Arabidopsis thaliana: one gene and its partner. The protein of the gene in region 2 binds, or shares a complex with, the protein of the main gene of each other region. Each region holds a gene or a part of one and is shown on either strand. Other genes may lie near its edges.

Region 1 (4,198 bases), on a different chromosome or scaffold from region 2:
GAAAGTGTTGGTATGTCTCTATCATCAGAAACCCTGTGAGTCCTGGACTTACGGGTATTGGGATAAAAACAAACCGTTGGGTGATCAAAGTGATCCATCCGATGATAGTTGTTGGTTCAGAGGTTAGCTCGCACCATCGAAACTAAAACCTCTAGTGTCCAAAGAGGGTTTTGTATCCTGGATTTGAATCTTGCTTATCTTGCTGTCTCAGTCTCTGTCAAAATTTTGGGGTCGTCTGATACTTGAATTTTTTATTTTCAGTTTTTTTTTTGAGTTAATTTGTCTTTGTTACTGAGACTTCCTCAAAGTCAGAGCTTGGTCCACAATAAGTAATTTCCTAAATCGTTTGGATCATTTATTAGTGTGCACTTTGCAGTGCTTTGATAGTTTTACTTCTTTAGAGTAGTGTTTGGTTTCGATTTATTCCCATCTTAACAAGTTTATGCATAATTTCAGAAACTGATTCATGAAAGTCAACCAATAAACTTTAGAAGAATAGACCAAAAAGAACTTAATTTTCTAAACTTTTTTTAAGACGAACACAAAAAAAAAGTTGTGCAAAGACCTCGTAACTTCATCAAAATGGGTAAAATGTGGACTTCCATCATTCTGACTATAAAATTGAATAGGTGTGTACAACAAAGAGGAAACTGATATGACTGGAACAACAGTTAGAAGAACACAAGACCAATGCTCCCAGAAATACCAGAGAGTTTTGGAATAAACTGTCATGTAGGAATAACTGAAATAACCGCCACAATGAGATCAATCATCACTCTTCTCTGCTTAGCCTCTCCCTTTTGCATATAGGATCAAGCCAATGATGCATCAAAAGGGTCTATTGTAAAGACCAAGCAATGGTTTTTCTCTATCTTCAACTCGTTTCCTAGCAGCTTCTCTTGCCTTCAATGCAGCTTTCTCTTCTGCAGATACTTTCTTCGGTTTCTCATCTTGCCTCTTTCTCTTGTTGTTGCCAAGATCAACAGATGAAGCCGCTCCTTTCACAGCTCTTTTAGGATTTAAAGAAGCTGTGACAAGACGGCCAGGTGGTTTCCCCACACTTGGTCCAGCTCCTGAAGAAGATACAGGCTTTTTCACGAGAGGTACTTTGGTTCCTGATGATGTTTTAACCGCAGCGTAGGCCTCGTCTTGTGTCACCCAATGTCCTGTTTCATTACCCGTGTAAGCATACACACGACGAAATTGTATACAATCATGTTTGCAAGGAAACAAATAAAAAAAACTCGATATATATTACATACCTATTGAGTCACTGTAATAGAATCCAGACTGTGAATCATAGTGCAGACCATTGGTCTGGTTGTAATAATAGCCTGAAGCACTGTCGAGCATCCAATCTGCCATAACAATATGGTTACTACATGGTATATGTATAAATGAAAAAGGCTAAGAAAAATGGCAATCAAAATGATGAAAGAACCTGAGAGTGACTCAAAAGAAGCAACCGTTTCGCTCTTTCGTGATGATTCTCTATAGGGTTATAGGCATTAAAACTTATAAGTCATTTGCAAAGATGTGTAATATGACAATCGAAGAATCAGACGCTGCTTGGTTTGTTCATACTTTTGGTCAATGAAAGCAATTCACAAATCCAATTCACACATACTCTACGACCTCAGTAATGTTAAGTCTATAACAAACAGATCCAAAGCTAAGCAACAACCCTGAATATAGCAGCTATAAGTCGAAGAACAAATACTAATGACATCATAGAGAGAGATACTTACCGGATGTACCATCCTCTGGTGCACCGTTTGCTTTAGCTACTTGCTGAGCAGTTGCAATATCTTTCTGATAGCTACGAGTTGCTTTCTGAAACAAGTTGAGATATAAACAATGGAATCAGAAATAAATACGTTAGAATAAGTATCACTGGCAAAAGAAACAAGAATGATTACTCACAGCTTCGATCTGTTGAAGCAGTTTTTCGTTTTTCTTGAGCTCTTTGTCTTTGGCTGCACTCCTCTCACGCATATCAGTGAGCTTCTTATCAACACATTCTCGGTGACGCTTACCAAGGTCATGGTTTCTAATACTTGTTGGATTGTTCTGTATCCATATCTTACAGAATTCACACCATTTGTTCCCTTGACTTACCCAATACTGAAATAACACAAAAAACAAACTCAAGATCAATTTCAATTACGAAACAAGACAGAGGTTTCGTAATTCAAAGAGATTTGGAGAGAAAAGATGCGAATTTTGATTTACCTCAGTCATGGCTGTGGATCAAGGAGATGAAGATTGAATCGAAAATTAAACCCAGAAAACGAAGTTACCGGAACTATAAGATCAACTTTTAATCAGAATCAAGAACTAAGTGAAGAAAAATCTCGAGAGAAAGAGAGAGAGATTAGAAACCCTAATTCCTTAAACTCGAATCCCAAACTCGAGAGGAGAAGCAAAATATAAAATTGGGGGAGAAGAAAATCGGTTTGGTTTGTTTTCTAAATTCTAATTTATTTCCATCACTAGAACCGGTTTTCACTGGTTACACCGACTCAGATCTCACAAATTAAAGCACAGTAACAAACCGGAAATAACCAAGATTTCGCTGATTCCATAATCATTGGGAAGAAAGAGAGACAAAAATCAAATCTTTTTGGAATTTTCTTTTTCATTTTCTTGACTTCACATAGAGTATCAAAGTATCTGTGGTTACTATATTATTACAACAATCTTTTTTTTAGAATTGCTCTTGTAAGAAACTTTTCATTTGTTGTACAGTCTTTGACCAACTATTACATTTCCAATACCAATCCAAGATTTAGAGTAAAGGTTTTGACATCTTCTTTTACGATTTCGCTTAGGTCATGTTTGTTTTCGTTATCTTCACCGGGTAGTTTTCCCCGAGGCTCGAACAGAGACTCCATGTAACAGTTTAACAAACCCGAAGAAGCTAAGCTTTCCATCAGTGTGTCTGATCCAATCATGTAGAACTGAATGTACCGGTATAGATGGTCCAACACCAAGTTCCTGCAATTCAAAAGCATGTCGTTTTAGAGGATCTGTTTTTCGATATTTTTGTATTTAAGCTGAAGACAGATGCTTTAACTTACAGAGGCAAGTTCTTCGATGACAATAGCTCGGTTTCCATTCTTGTCGAAAAGCTCATAAGCATGTCGAATGCTCTGTTCCCAACAATCAAGCGACTCGTGCTGATGAACGTTTATAGCAGCTGCACAAAACTCTTCAAAATCCATTCCTCTGTATTGAAGTCCATTTAGCTGTAAAAAGCCAGTCAATGAAGGATCATTAACACCAAATTGTTAAAGCATTTATCAAAATCCGAGAGAACACAGTCATTTACCAAAGCAAGAAACTCTGGGATCCGAGATTCTTTCATTGCTTCTGTTGCATTGCTTGCAAGTGCCTGTTTAAACAGAAACAAAAAATGCAATACAGATTAGATTACTACGGTGTTTCTCTTTTTTTCTCAAGAGGAAGGAATATAAAAGAAGTTATAGTGTCACAAACCATTCTAATGGTATCCATTGTGATTAGGCCATCTTTGTTTGGTGCGAGAAGAGAAAATTGAGTTTTCAGGTAAAGAATTTCATCCTTGATTAACGTCTTCGATAGCGCCTGTGAAAAGAAAGCACATAATAGTGAGAAAGTAATCTTCAATGCTCTTTTCGACACTTTAAAAGAATGCCTAAAACATACCCTCAAAGCAGCTTTGCGTAATGAAGAAGATCGCAAGTACGCCTTCATCTGCCTAAAGATCAAGATATCGAAAGGGATATTCATGTCCGTATTATAAGCTCGGATCCAAGGATGCACTGAAAAAAGTAAATAGGAACTGAATTTGGTGATTTATGACTACCAAAAGACAGGAGACATAAAACTATAAAGAGCTGTGAAATTAAAAATGACTGACTCAAGGCTTGGGAGGCTGACATTCTTCGCCGGGGATCCTTAAACAATAACCGCTTAACAAAGTCTTTAGCGTCAGAAGACAAGAAGGGCCAAGGAGGTTCATCGAAACTCGGGTCAGCTTTAAGAACAGCTCTAAAAATTCCGGATTCAGTTCTTGCCCAAAACGGACGGCTACCACATAGTAGAATGTATGCTATGACTCCGATGCTCCACACATCCGCTTCTGTTGTATATGATCTGTGTAGAACTTCGGGAGCTACATAGTATGCACTTCCCACTATATCGTTTAGTCTCTCAT
Region 2 (6,643 bases):
TTTGGTTCGGTTCATCGGTTCCGGTTTTTTTGCCCGCCCTTACTTCATATCTAATTAATTTTATATACAATGTAATTAATCTGTTAGCAGTAAAGAGTAAGTACTGACTTAGAGGAAATGATCACATGTGCATTTTGCACAGATTCCGTAACAAAACTTACCTATATTTTACGACTCAAGAACATTAAACAGAACCAAAACAACATCTTATATTAAAAAAAAAAAACGTTAAACCAACTACACTTGAATTTCTTTTTATTCTTCATCATAAATGAATTGGATTGTTGGGCCAATTAAATACATTATCGTGTTCGGCTACCGATCACAGTTTTATGTAACACTCACGAGGAGATATGATTTGTTTAAGAAGATGGTTTAGATGATGTCTTATCTAATTAACATCAACTATAAACCTCTAACCATACCACAGAAATAACAAGAGCACAAAAGTCTAACATATAAGATATTTTGATAAAGTAATTAAAATGTTCAACAACCAACTAGGCACGGACATTTGATGGTACCAAAGTCAAATATGCGGTTCGTATATATCCACTTACTTTATATTTTGCTATTTAGCTCCACATTCGCATTATACATTTAACCAACGATAACGTTATCTATTTGTGTTAATCTTTTGGAAAAAATGTTAACGAACATGTTCTTGTCCCCATCATCATATGATGATGATTGCAAACCTAATATTGCATTTTTATTTTATTTTGCCTTTTGTTATGTTTTTTGGTAGCACTTTTGGGTCCATATTTTGGACACGTTGTCGCCATGTGTTCTCCAAAAGAACAATACATAATAAATTTGGATAATGGTATAACTAGTCTTTAGAAACTAGATATAGATGAGGTGATTAGTTGTGATATGCTAATTGCTAAATACAGCCTATTGTGGTCCGCTTTTGGTAAACCAAACAGATTGTCTTTGATTTGGTCCTCTTTTTTTTTTTTTTTAGTGCGGTCTGTTCTGATCGGAGTTGATCCTGATTATGGCAGTCACAATGTTCTGAGGGAACTTCCTCAACGCCAATTATTATACACTTGAAAGCTGACCAAATACTGGAAATGCAGGAGTTTCACAGACGGCCATCACGAGGAAACTGGTCTCACTTTCAGTTCTCTCTTATCTTCGGTTGAATCGAAACTAATGGACTGTCCACACAATATATCCTGTTGTTTCTCATGCCTCACCAGAGGTACTCGGCAAAAGACTAGAACAAATCAACCTTTGTACTTGCAAACTAGTTTTACCCAACAATAAAACAAATTGCAGTGTTACCACAGGATGAGAGCGACCAAAAGGTTCTCAAAGTCAAGGGTCTACTGAAGATAGGAAAACAAGTCGCCTTTGTTTGAGAATCAGCTCTCCAAAAGAAGGCAAATAAACTAGTTGGTTGATTTTAACAGGCAAGAGGTTTATTAGTATTAAGGCTAAAAAGGTTACCAATATCTTCTTCTAAGAATTACTATCACAGCTAGTGTTAATGGACAAAGAACTCTAAAAACTGTGTCAGGGGTTAGTTTTCTTACACTGTCTAAAGAAGCGTTGGGAGTGTGGGTTTCATGACTTGCCCACGCACCAATCTTAGTCACCAGGCAGACAAAAGCTCCCTAAGGATGAAGGCTAAGGCATGAAACGAACAACAAATGATCAGTTATACAAATAACAAAAGAAGTTTAATAGCTGAACACTGCAGCACACAGAGACTCACAAAGAAAACTGAAGCATTTAGTAAACTGAGAATTCTACATGTATCTGGTGAAACACTCCTGTAAATCAATATCAGGTCTCGCTACTGAAGAAAAACATGAATGGTTAAAAGTTGAGCCTGCAAAGAGAAAACAAGAACTAAGGTGTAATGTGCTATGAGCAGAGCTTGATCATGAAAAACATAAGAAAATTGATACTCTCAAGCAGAATTCTCTTCCTTGCTCAACGCATTCACAACTCTCTTCAAGATAACTTCAATAGGCTGGTGAGCATTTTCAACCGCTTTGGAGATGGCTTGCCATTTCTCGCCATGCTTCGGCTCACAAGCTACACACTTCGCCACAACTTCCTTCCTGTCCTCATCAGAGCCATGTTGAAGTTCAAATTTGTAGAACAACGCCCAGAAATCGCCAATATCTGGGCCAACGGTAACAGCACGTTCAAACCATGCTCTGGCTTTCTCCACCTTCTTGTCTTGCCAAAAGAGCTTGGCAACAGCTATGGTGACATGAGGGTCGCGATCACACTTCTTCATAGCATCAATACTCTTTGTTTTCCGTCGAGGACGTGGCGCCATCTCAATGTCCGCAGCCCAGAGGATACCACTCTTGGGACAGTCTTGCAGAGCCTTTGACATCAAGTGCTCTGCTTCTCTCTTGTTGTCATGCCTCAGTTCAGCGCGAATAGCAGCTAACCATAGCTCAGCCCCCCCAGGATTCTTCTTCCTGGCCGTGGTGAGAATAGCCCGAGCTTTGTTTAGCCCATTCACTTTCTCTTCAAGATCAGCGAGTGAGAGCCACAGTGGTATGCAGTGGGGACAGTGCTTCAAACCAGTGTCATAAGCTTTCCTGGCCTGTTCTAGATGCTTGAACCGTTCCTCGAGCTGCCCAAGCATTAACCAAAGCTTGAAGAATGTTGGGAATTGCTTCAAACCTTCATTAAGCAATCTCCTCTCCTCCTCTACGTTGCCAAGTTCTCTCTCAACAATGGCTGATTTCATCCAGACCCTTTCAGTCCCTCCTCTTTCCCTTGCTTTTGCAAGCAGCATTCTTGCCCTCTCCGGCTCCTTGTTCTCAAACTCAAGCTTGAAAGCAGCAAGCCAGATTTCCTCAGAGTTGGGAATTGCAGCATAAGCCTCTTGTAGAATAGCACGGGCTGCTGGAACATCTCCAGCGAGCCACTTCTCTTTGGCACCCATGAGCCAGAGAACCTCAGCTTGCGGGACATATGTTACAGCCTTACGCAACAAGGCATCAAGGGACTCCCGACTCCCATGGCTCTTCTCAAGCTGCGCCGCTTTAAGCCAGATACTTTTCTTGGTCAAGAATACACTAAGAGCATGGGCGTATATTGCTCTTGCGGTCTCAATGGAACCCCTCTTCTTGCACTCATCTGCATCAGCAACCCAAGTTCTCTTTCTATCCTCTTCTTCCACTCCAATACCTATTGTGTTCTTAATAATGGCCTGGCATGTAGCGACAGATCCAACTCTCTCACATGCCTCAGCCTCACTCATCCAATTTTCTCGGTCAATAACAACCCCTTCTCTCTGGAGAGTCTTTATACCCCTATCAATAATCTTTCCCACCATAGCCGTGTTATCATTAGCTTCATCTAGCTTCCCATTAGCTTCTTCTAACTTAGCAGCGGTGATCCAAATTGCAGGCTCCTTTGGGAGCTTCTCTCTCGCTTTGTTCAACACCTTCTTTGATTCAGCATATGTTTCGAGCCTCGCAAGTGCCACCCATAGCTCCAGATGCAAAGGGCAGCACTCCACAGCCCTGTGAAGCAAAATCCTTGCATCCTCCTCATTAGCCAACTCAACAACAGCCTTCCATAGTCTTACAGAGTCTGGAATATGTTCCAGTCCCTTTCTCAACACCCTACTCTTGTTCTCCACATCATGCTCCAGCTTTGCAGCCTCCAACCATAGCTTCACTGAATTGGGTATCAGCTTAACTCCCTTCGCAATAACCCCCTTGGCATCTTCTGGATTAGCTAACCTACAAGCTTCAAGCCAAACATCCTCATTTTTCGGGCACTCTTCGCAGCCCCTCTGAATCTGAAACCTAGCTGCTTTAATCTTCCCATCCACCTCCTCCACTCTAGCAGCAGCAATCCAGCCATTTGGATTCTTTGGATTCGACTGGGTCAGACTCTTGTATAACAATCTAGCTCTATTGCGATCGTATATCTCTTCATCAGTGGTTCTTTTCATACTCTTCAGGTCAGTTAAGTAGCCTTTAGGATCCACTACAGTTTGCCCCGAAACTGAATCTGATAGGTTATCAAGCTTCAGAGACAACACCGTACCTCTTCCCTCACCGACAGCAGTCAAGTCTGTCACCGGCGTCTGCCCCCATGGTGTCTCCGACCCACCAGCGGCTCTGCTCTTTGGGTCTAAGGCCATGACAAGCTCCTTTTCTTTCTTCGCCTTCTCCAAAAGCGTATCAGGAATAGGCACAAAGCTCTCAAACTTCTTCTTCTTGTTCCTCAGCGAGTAATCCCCAATCTCAGGAATACTATCCCACTCATCCGCAGACAAAGTGTGTAATTTCCTCTTCAAATCCGCAAACTGCTCAGTAATCTTAGGGTTCGAGGCTCGGTATTTCTCGATTTCTTCCTTCAGCTTCGCTTCTCTCCGATCTTTCCTCCTCGAATCCATCCTCTGATCAATAGACTCCCAGATGGCATCAGCCTCTTTATCATCCTCATCGTACTCAGCATTAGCGAACAAACCAACATCATTCCCTTCAAACTCATCAAACGTCTGATTCTCATCGTACCTTTTCTCCTCAGCTTCTTCATCGTCCTCCGCTTCCGCTTCACTTGGCTTCCCTGCTCCACGACCTACTCCTGGAGCAGCCGCTGTAGCCAAAGCAGACCGATCAGGAAGATCCGGAGCAGCACGAGCAGGACCAATATCAGATCGAGTAGTAAACCCAGTAGCACCACGACCCAAACCCGCTACATAATTTGACGGAGGCTTAGAATTGAGGAAATCAAGACGAGGCTTCGGCGGAGCCGCTTGCATACCACCCAAAAGCAGGACATGGATAATCACAGTAGAGAAACGAGAAACACCGAGATCGGACAATAAGATCGAATCGGAATCCTTTGAATCTACAAACACGCGGCTAGGGTTTCGCATACGGAGAGAGTAACGAAGGAAAGATTGTGGAACATCACTACGTTGGTGGGCCAATTGTTCGAAGGCGGAGATGGTGGTTGAATTAGGGTTCACGTCGATCGATAAAGTCTTCCCGTTTGGAATCGAGAGAAACACCATCGTAACCTAATCGAGATTCTCCGGTCAAAGAAACCAAACTATAAAAATCTCTGCTGTTACAACGAATATAAAGGGTGGAAAAAAAATAGTCGGTTCAGAGGTAAAGGCGGTGGGATATGTAGTGGGCTTTTTAATGGGCTTTTTGAACTTCATATTGTAAAACCACCGTTAGTATAATTCGAGCTTTTCATAAAGCGACACCGTATATGACTATCTCTGTGTGTTTTGGTTTTAAACGACGTCGTTTGCATGGCTTTGGGAAAAAAATTAAATGACTAAATATTGCGGTGAGCGTGGATCGAACACGCGACCTTCAGATCTTCAGTCTGACGCTCTCCCAACTGAGCTATCCCCGCTTCATGTAACACAATCAATGAGTAAAAGATATATAGAAAGAAAATAAAAACGAAAAGACAACGTAATGCGGTGAGCGTGGATCGAGATCTTCAGTCTGACGCTCTCCCAACTGAGCTATCCCCGCTTACTGACTCTTTCCAAACCAACGTAATAAATTACTAGTTATGAAAACAACAACTGAATCAAATAGATAAGAAGACATCCTTTCGTCTTTTTTGTTTCAATCACACGGACCAGAGCCAGAGGTGTGATATGTTTCAGCATCTTCTTCATCAACAAACCATAATAGCATTCGGAGAGGATATCCGTTGCCCAGTGACAACGACCAAAGCCAGGAATATATGGGACAGTGTAATAGGCAAGAAGAAAATAGAGCACAAAATAAAATACGCGCTGAATATCTATATATACATTTTTGCAGCAATTTTGTGAAATAAATCTTATAGTTGGGACTTATTTACAATAGCTGCCACTGGATTTTAATGTTTGTTTTTGATAATTAGAAAAAAAATCTTCAAATTAAATATTTGACATTTAACAATCTTCCCTAAATCTCTCCACATTAACTACACGATTAGTTACTAAAATAAAACTTTCAAAATATTTAATATCATTTATTTACTACAAAATTATCATTTTTGATATTGTTTTTCTCCATGACTATAACAATTTAATTATAATCGTCAAATCGCAGAGATATTTGATAGCATTTAATTATTACAAAATTACAAAATATTTAGACAATAATTCATAAACATATCATAAATAAGATTAACATTAATAAAATAAATGTTTTTTTTATGGGACGGGTTGGCGGGACGGGTTTGGCAGGACGTTACTTAATAACAATTGTAAACTATAAAATAAAAATATTTATAGATAGATACAATTTGCAAACTTTTATGTATACTAACTTTAAAAAATAAATTGTTTCCGCGGTGTACCGCGGGTTAAAATCTAGTATTTAGTGAAGAACGAAAAAAAATAACTAGTATATCACTTGTTGTAGCGAGCACGCCAAAATAGAATGCGACCTACATGGAGTTTAGAGCCAAAGACAGAAATGGAAAGGCAAACTGAAAGGCTTTGTGGCCGAGTTCTGGATCACCCAGCAAAGCCCAAATAAGAACAAGTATTGCTACAATAAGTTAACCAACAACCAAGTCCTGAACTGCTTAGCCGCCTCTAAGAACATAGCTCAAGATTAAAAAGAAATGGCAAGCCAAGAACATAGACTACCTCAAAACCAGGTATGAGCTGGAAACAAACCAAAAG

The links. Proteins that work in one complex are often made in the same cells at the same time.
Region 1: EMB2770 (region 2) and AT1G49590 share a complex: the UniProt entries of both Arabidopsis thaliana proteins name them as parts of the pre-mRNA splicing complex.

What each region holds. Positions count from the first base shown.
Region 1 is NC_003070.9:18,353,040-18,357,237, reverse strand, and holds AT1G49590 (C2H2 and C2HC zinc fingers superfamily protein), read right to left. Parts: upstream 2,456-4,198; 5' UTR 2,242-2,455; coding exon 2,233-2,241; intron 2,125-2,232; coding exon 1,924-2,124; intron 1,834-1,923; coding exon 1,749-1,833; coding exon of another isoform or gene 1,729-1,748; exon of another isoform or gene 1,492-1,728; coding exon of another isoform or gene 1,442-1,491; intron 1,359-1,441; coding exon 1,263-1,358; intron 1,167-1,262; coding exon 829-1,166; 3' UTR 505-828; downstream 1-504. Other genes in the region: AT1G49580 (Calcium-dependent protein kinase (CDPK) family protein), read right to left, coding at 2,854-2,997, 3,081-3,248, 3,332-3,394, 3,499-3,606, 3,688-3,803, 3,902-4,198. UniProt on the Arabidopsis thaliana protein: Nucleic acid-binding protein that promotes Pol IV-dependent small interfering RNA (siRNA) accumulation, DNA methylation and transcriptional silencing.
Region 2 is NC_003075.7:1,515,490-1,522,132, forward strand, and holds EMB2770 (pre-mRNA splicing factor-like protein), read right to left. Parts: upstream 5,075-6,643; 5' UTR 5,012-5,074; coding exon 1,922-5,011; 3' UTR 1,724-1,921; exon of another isoform or gene 1,636-1,723; 3' UTR 541-1,635; downstream 1-540. UniProt on the Arabidopsis thaliana protein: Pre-mRNA splicing factor required for splicing and for the turnover of unstable transcripts. May be a U5 snRNP-associated protein involved in the formation of U4/U6-U5 tri-snRNP. Involved in responses to abiotic stresses.